Arabidopsis thaliana: one gene and its partner. The protein of the gene in region 2 binds, or shares a complex with, the protein of the main gene of each other region. Each region holds a gene or a part of one and is shown on either strand. Other genes may lie near its edges. A codon is read from its position in the direction of its gene.

The links.
Region 1: the proteins of GAPA (region 2) and PRK are in contact, whole or in part, in a crystal structure (PDB 6KEZ), measured with the Arabidopsis thaliana proteins. Residues at the interface, in NP_566796.2 of Arabidopsis thaliana: Lys312 (codon at 226), Thr313 (codon at 223), Phe314 (codon at 220), Glu316 (codon at 214), Glu317 (codon at 211), Ala320 (codon at 202), Arg323 (codon at 193), Lys328 (codon at 178), Asp365 (codon at 67); in NP_174486.1 of Arabidopsis thaliana: Lys292, Asp327, Ile330, Glu333, Phe343, Tyr344, Gly345, Thr348, Leu352.

Annotation. Positions count from the first base shown.
Region 1 is NC_003070.9:11,530,180-11,534,102, reverse strand, and holds the start of PRK (phosphoribulokinase), read right to left. Parts: upstream 1,905-3,923; 5' UTR 1,436-1,904; coding exon 912-1,435; intron 644-911; coding exon 559-643; intron 459-558; coding exon 374-458; intron 294-373; coding exon 49-293; intron 1-48. Other genes in the region: SCAMP5 (SCAMP family protein), read right to left, coding at 3,129-3,161, 3,263-3,328, 3,411-3,459, 3,716-3,783, 3,867-3,912.
Region 2 is NC_003074.8:9,792,894-9,796,816, reverse strand, and holds the start of GAPA (glyceraldehyde 3-phosphate dehydrogenase A subunit), read right to left. Parts: upstream 1,956-3,923; 5' UTR 1,592-1,955; coding exon 1,562-1,591; intron 1,484-1,561; coding exon 1,376-1,483; intron 1,192-1,375; coding exon 887-1,191; intron 802-886; coding exon 557-801; intron 472-556; coding exon 1-471. Other genes in the region: LWD2 (Transducin/WD40 repeat-like superfamily protein), read right to left, coding at 2,501-3,541; AT3G26630 (Tetratricopeptide repeat (TPR)-like superfamily protein), read left to right, coding at 3,878-3,923. UniProt on the Arabidopsis thaliana protein: Involved in the photosynthetic reductive pentose phosphate pathway (Calvin-Benson cycle). Catalyzes the reduction of 1,3-diphosphoglycerate by NADPH.

The DNA of each region.
Region 1 (3,923 bases), on a different chromosome or scaffold from region 2:
CATTTTCATTCATTTCTCACAATATGTCATTATGCAATATGAATGTACCTCATGGTCGAAGTAGGAGTCAGGTTCGTAGTTGAACTTGATGCCAGGGTACGAGCAAGTGAGTTTGCGGCCGCAAGGAATCCACGAGATGGTTGAACCTTCATCGAACAGGTAAACCGGGCTGAAGTACTTAACACCTTCCTTCATTATCAATCTCACTCTCAACACTTTCCCTTCGTTGTCATCTGGGATCAGAGTCGTAGGAAGCACTTCTATGACCGCATCCGCGTACTGCTTTTGCGGGTCTGTATAAGCCATTGAAAATATTATAAACTGATCAAGCCGAATATGACACGGGGTTACATCAAGAAATTAGGAGTGTTACCGATGAATGCATCGAAGTCGGGCTTTCGGGCTTCGATACTCGCTTTGATGCTCTCCAAACTGTGACCTCTTTCAGCCATGTCCCTCTGTGACCATCAAAAACGTTACAGATTCAGTTTTATAAGATAAACCGAAAACGTTCCACAAAATGGTGTAAATGTAGTTGAATTATTCAAAGAAATTCACCTGAATTTTCCAAGCGAATTTGACTTCGTTGCTAATGTCCAAGTAGATACTGAAGTCTAGTAAGTCTCTTACTCGCTCATCAAACCTTCACAAGTAGATAAATATTATTATAAAACATTACAAGTACCAAAACTATAGACTTAATTATTCGAATAAAAATTAATCGGTGTCACACACTACATGCATAGATTCAAAGATCCATCTTTAATTATTCTGATACTGATTCTAGTATAAATCTAAGTCCAGATTCTTAATCATCGAAATTCCGACAAGATAAGAGACTTCCAAACTCTAAAATTTGAGTATGTCTAAGATACAAAACAGAGTATCATAACAGAGTATGTGTAGCTTACATTGGGTGAAGACCTTCGATGACAAGAATCTTAGGAGGCTGAATAAGCTCCGGAGGGTCAAGAAGTCCAGTGACATGGTTATAAATCGGTTTCTCGACGGCTATACCATTCTTAAGAGCTTTGACTTGCTCATACATGAGATCAAAGTCATTGGCGCGTGGGTCCAAAGCGGTGACTTTCTGCTCTTTCCTACCGTACCTATCCAAAGAATGGTAATCATCAAGACAGATCACAGTGGTCGTGTCGCTGATGAGTGTGTTGGAATCAGGGTTCCCGCCTTTTGGTGGCTTAGCAGCGCCACCAAAGACGCTGGTGAGCCTCCGCATAAAGGTACTTTTGCCGCAGCCAGAGTCAGCAGCTAGTCCGATCACGATGGTTTCTTGTGCGCAAGTGATGAGTGTGTTGAATCTACGGTTGGTTTGTGGTTGACGACGGTAGAGGAAGACTTGTTTGGAGGAGGAAGAAGAGGTTAAGAAATGAGTTGAATTGAGAGCTTGTGTTGAGTAGATAGTTGAGACAGCCATTGTTGTTTGTTTGGTGTTTTGGTCTCCTCTTCTTCTCCGCCTAAGCTCTTTTTTTTTTGTTTAGCTTTGTGAGCTCAGGTTGAGTGATGAGGATTTAGGATAGAATGAAAGAAATGTGGGTAACGATTTTTGATTTTATGGTTTTTTGTGTGGTGATATAGAGATGTGATTTTTTTTTTTTTTGAAAATAAGATTAAATGGGGAAAGAGAGAAATGAGAGGAGGACAATGGGTCTATAGGAAAAACAGATGGCAATTTGCAGAGAAGAAAAGGAGTTTTATTTTGTTTTGTTTTGGTTTAATGTGGTTGTGTGATGATTGGCTCATGTTTTGGTTTCTTGAAGTAAAATTGTTTGTAATGTTGATTAGTCTCTATGTTAAGATGTTGTTGATAAGATAAGAGGATAAGAAAACATTTATAGCCATTAAAAAACCAAAGATCATATCTTATTTACTTCATGAAGTAATAAACTTATGGTAATTTTGTTTGATTTTTTTGGCTAAAAGATAATTTGGAGAATAGAGTTTGGGAGAGGAGTGGAGTTGCCGATGAAGTGATAAAACTAACAGGGCATGGAGGGAGACGTTGCTTGGTGGTTATTTGCTTATTTTTTTGGGATTTGGATATTTGAATTGACACGTGGGAGATTCTAATTGGACAGATGGGGATTAGGTGTTTAAGGTCTGAAGATGAAGGAGAGAGTATTATGTGGGTCACATTTACACGTCACCGTATATCCCCCCTTGGCTTCGAATCTTTATGGTCTTTGAACAACTTACCTTTTTATGCTTTTATTTTTTTCTATAGGGATCAAAGCCTTCTTGCGTTACCTTAACAATGGGCTTCAAGCCTACCAATTAATAAAGACACCAAGAGTTTTTTTTTTTTTTTTTTTTTTGTGAACAGATACCAGAAGTTTATTACTCATGAATTTCACCGTAGGGTAATTAGTAAAAGAGATTACATCGGGATTAAAAAAACAAAACCATGGTTTATTTATCGACCGCGATAGAGTCGGCACTAGTTGCTTATTCTTGGACACATTGAACGTAGTCTCCACCAACCACCATACAACTTCCATGTCAAGCATGAAACTATAACGGGTCAGAGAATTTGTTAGGTTAAAAAGTAAAAACTATGGACTCACATTAAATCTTTCCAAAAAAATTACTTTAATCTCTTTTGAGTTTTGACTCATGGAGTTTGCAAATGAAAAAAAGTTCTTATTTTGCTCAACAGAAGAATTTAACGAAGTTTTATCTCTCTCGAGTCATGGTGTTTGCAAAAAAAAAAATTCATAAAGTTCACGGCCATATCGAAACATCTATACTTTGTTATACGCAATGATAATCAGAAGGACCAGATTCTAAGATTCAGACCGAAGAGAGTCGCTACTAATAATTCATAGCTATGATTTTTTTTTGTCTAAATAGTCCATCCACTTCGCCGAAAAAAAATCCCAAAAGCTAAGAGACGATATTGGTATATTACAGACCAGAGAAGAACAGAGTAAAAAACATAAAGAAATGGCCGAACAACCACTCTCTCTTGCTACTATAGTAACTAAAGAATTTACCTCAATCAACACAACGCATCAAACGGTAAAATGGTAATTACATTCATAGGAGATACACATATTTCAGACCTTATATCGTAAGGGAAAATTACCATCATCTTCCTCTTTATCTCCTTTTCACTTGTTTCCCCTAAAGTAGAGGTAAATTTTCTGCAAAGCCAAAATGGGAAACCAGATCAATCAAATGTTTACTGGTTTCATCAACGTCAACAGTTTTGAAGAAGCCATGAAAAGTATGATCAGAGGCTTACCTGAAGAACCCATAGACTCAGCAGTGACTCCAAGCAGAAGAGACCGAATCCGATAAAGTAGAAGATCTGCCATCATTCATTAGGGTTAGACACATTGAATATATTATAGGCGTCGTCATGAAATGTAAAATAGGTGTATAGCTCATACCCCAGCTAATAAACTGTCTGAGATGACATCAATTGCTGCAAGCACACCCCTGTTGATCGAAATAAGAGAAAGGGTTTTTAAGTTAATCTCAAGGCAACAAAACATACAGAGGTGAATCACAGCTAGATTCTCACTTCTACTTGTAGTCATAATCCTCATTATTTTGTAACAACTGAATATTAATAAACCTTTCAGAACAATTTAGAACTTTCCAATTGAAGCCCTCACCAGACTAACCAACTACATATGAAGTAAGAGTACACTCAAACGCAAGTAGAAACGTAGGCTATTATTGGAAGACTTACGTTAATGATTTTCCATGGAAAAAGATTGGAGGGGCGATGGCAGCAACGATGCAGAAGCCAATGTGAATCTGTAAGGAGCTCAGGTCAATCATGTGGAAAATGGAAGTATATCTACTTAAAGGTAAGATATAAATAGGTTTTATGAACTCACCAAGTAGGTGAAGAAAAACCAACCAAACTTCAAAGCACTGTCAGTCCTGCAAGGCCG
Region 2 (3,923 bases):
AGTCAACAACTCTCTGTGAGTAACCCCATTCATTATCATACCAAGCAATCACCTTAACCATATCATCTCCCATAACCATAGTGAGTGATGAATCAATGGTCGTTGAAAAATCTGAGCATCTGAAATCAACGGACACTAGTGGCTCATCGCAGACATCGAGTATACCTTTAAGCTCTTTCTCTGCAGAATCTCTGAAAGCAGCGTTGACTTCCTCAGCAAATGTCTTCTTTGAGACCTGCACAACGAGATCAACCACTGATACGTTTGGTGTTGGTACACGGAGAGCGATCCCGTTGAGTTTTCCTTTGAGGTTAGGGAGCACAAGAGCCACAGCTTTAGCTGCTCCTGTAGAAGTAGGAACAATGTTCAAAGCAGCTGCTCTTGCTCTCCTTAGATCACGGTGACTCGCGTCTAGCAACCTCTGGTCACCGGTGTAAGAGTGAGTAGTCGTCATTGTACCCTTTATGATACCTGCAATGTTACAAACACATTAAAACCCGTTTCATTGATCCCGTGAGAGAACACGAAAAGCGAAAGCGGAAAACGGATTGCATACCGAATTTCTGGTCAAGAACTTTGACAAAGGGAGCAAGACAGTTGGTAGTGCAAGATGCATTGCTGATGATAGGTTCATCATGACTGTAAGCATCTGCATTGACACCAACGACATAAGTTGGAATATCTCCTTTGCCTGGAGCAGTAATGATAACCTTCTTGGCACCAGCTTCAATGTGTTTCCCTGCACCTTCTCTATCCACAAACACTCCGGTTCCTTCGATGACAATGTCAATTCCTAGCTCCCTAAGATACCAACCATATCCAATTCAAATGCTTATTCTAGACTTGAGATAAAAAGACTGATCACATAAGTGGTTTTTCGACTTACTTCCAAGGGAGAAGAGACGGGTTTCGGTTAGAGACAACTTGGATGATCTTTCCATCAACAGAGATTGCAGTCTCTCCAGAAGGTTTGACATCAGCATCAAAGATTCCGAGAGTAGAGTCGTATTTAAGTAAATGCGAAGCCTGCTTGACGCCACCAGTGTCATTAATGGCAATGATATCAAGAGGAGAGTCCTTGCGACCATGCCAACATCTCAGGAAGTTCCTCCCGATCCTACCGAATCCATTAATGGCCACCTTAAGCTTGGCCTCAGTCACACCTTTCCTGTATCCACCACTGCTTCCCATCTGATACACAAACAGAACAACCATCCAAATAGTTTACAAAACCGGCGAGAAACAGAAGCAAACATAATTCATCCGATTTATCGATAGACATGCATATAGGTACAAACATTTCATATAGTTGATGATCATCATAAGGAAGAACACGTAAGCTACAAATAATGTTGGAGGAGAACAGAGAACTCACTGCAGAAGTCTGGAAGGAGACGATGGAAACGAACTCATCGGAAGAAAGTTTCTTGCCGAAGGGAAGAGAAGCAGAGGAGCTTCGCAATCCTGAGAATTCAGTGAAACCCTGAAAACAAAACACAACATTTAGTTAACTTGTGTAAGAGAGACCTGAAGAAGAGAAGAAGAAGAAGGAGGAAGGTACCTTGGGGACAGAGAAAGTAACCGAAGCCATGGTGACCAGAAAGAATCCAAGTTAAGGTTTGTAGCAGACAGGAGAGCAAAAAGGATTGGTGAAGCAGAGACTAGTAATATAGGATAAAGAATTGATGACTTGGAGGCAAATAAGATTAGATTCTGGATAGCTTTCTTACTTGTTTCTATGGTTGTGGTTTTACCACTCTCTTGTCTCTTCATGTTTCTATGATCACATATTCACAAAGTCCCTCCTTCACCTATTTTTTAGATTTTTGGGCCTTTCATTTGGGCTTCTTCATTTGTGTGTGTGGTCACGGTTATAAAAGGAGGATAAGGCTGCTCTCCATTTGTCTGACTTTCAAAGCTAAGACTTTTTAGAGCAGAGGTTCTTAGGACTGGCTGAGAGAATATTGGCCAAAGGATTTAGTAAAGCTGATTTTGGTAAACCACAGACCTTGTATGCCTTTTAAGTTGGACAGAGAGTCTATATGCCTGTATTGAAGTAATGAAGAATACATCATCTGTACGATGTTACAAATGCCTAATTTCACAAATCTACATACCCATAAAGTGATATGGACAATGGAGACAAAACTTATAACAACTACCATAGAAAGCTACACATTCCATACGATGGTGAGGCAGACAAAATCCTGCAACTCCATCAGCTCGAGGGCAGAGAAACATAAATGCTGGTGTTAGTCATAATCTACTTCAAGTTCCCCGTTATGTCACATGCTCTCTGTTCAAAACTAACTTCCATACGTCTAATCAAATCCAATGCTAAAGCTAGTTATTCACAATTTTGAAGGTACATAGTTCCTACACAGACCATACTATGAAAGGAAACTCAATGAGGCTTAGAGTCAGAGATCAAAAGATCATTAATCAACAATAGCAACGAGTTTTTACATCCAAGTATCCAACAGAAATCTGTAAAACATAATCAGACCCGGAGAATCTGCAGCTTGTTAGAGAAGGCAATGGCAACCCAATCAGGCTGAGAAGATGACCACTGAAGCTGCTCAACCTCAGCGCCGGCTGTGTAAGCTAGAATCGGATCCAGACCACCTTCAACATGCTGTCCCATGGAAGATATATCCCAAATCAACGCCTGAGAATCATCTCCAGCGGAGCAGATATGGGAAGAGCTATGAGGAGCCCAAGCTATAGCATTGACACTAGCCTGATGTCGCTGAAGCTCCACGACAGGAAGAGCCGGAAACCGAATATCCAACACAACAATTTTAGCACTGCCCATGATAACAGTAGCCATATACCTCGGATCCTGCTTGTTCCAACTAAGTCGCACCAAAGGAGTACTAGGCTCACCACTCTCGTAGATAATCGTCGAATGCTCCTTATCACGGAGATCAAACACTCTAACGGAACCATCCTCTGAGACAGAGGCAAAGACACCAACACCACCCCAAGCAATGTCATAAACCTCTTTATCATGAGCAATAAGCTGGGTATCAACAACTTCACGCTCTATATCCCAAATAGTACAAGTGGTATCAATACTAGAAGTACCAATTCGTCTAGGCTCAGCTTCATTCCAATCAAATGAAGTGATTGGACCACTAAACTCACTATTCTTATCACTACTAAGACAAGACTTAAGCTCAACACGAGATTCATCATCAGAGATTCGCCATAAACGAAGGAAATCACTAGAAGTAGCTAAAAGATCGGGTCTTTGACATTCTTTATCGGGTATGAAACTGGTTTTCGTTGGTGGGTAAGGATGTTCGAAGCAGAGATTTGGATCTGAACGAATCTCACCATTTGATTCATCAAGCTGAACAATTTCGACGCGATTCGGATATTGCTCGATGAGGCTTGTGATTGCGAGCCGATACTTCTTGTCTCGACGAATGCTCCAGTTCATTGCGTAGATCTGCCATGGTGCTTCGTATGTGTAAATCTCTGATCTTTTTGATTGCTCTTCAGAACCATTTTGGATTTGATCGCTGCTCGTAACCATCTTTGCTTCAATGTAGCATAAACCCTAGATTCCTCTGCTTCGTCTTCTTCTTCTAATGGATATTTACTATTTCTTCTTTTTAGCTAACAAAAACGACGACGTTTAATACACGTAGAATCGATCCGGTTTGGTTCGAAATTTCTGTATTTCGTTTGGTTTAGTGGTTCCTAGTCGAATCAATCTGGTTATGCTTCCTCTTGCTACACAATAAACCGAATCCGAACCAAATCAGCCAAACTTCGGTTTAGTTCGGTTTATATGCAGCTTCATCATCATCCACACACGATCAATCGAGGAAAGAGTGAATGTGAGAATTTGGTGATTTATCGTTAATCCATGGCGGCTCCGTCGCCGTCTTCACCACCAAACCTCCTCTCTCCTC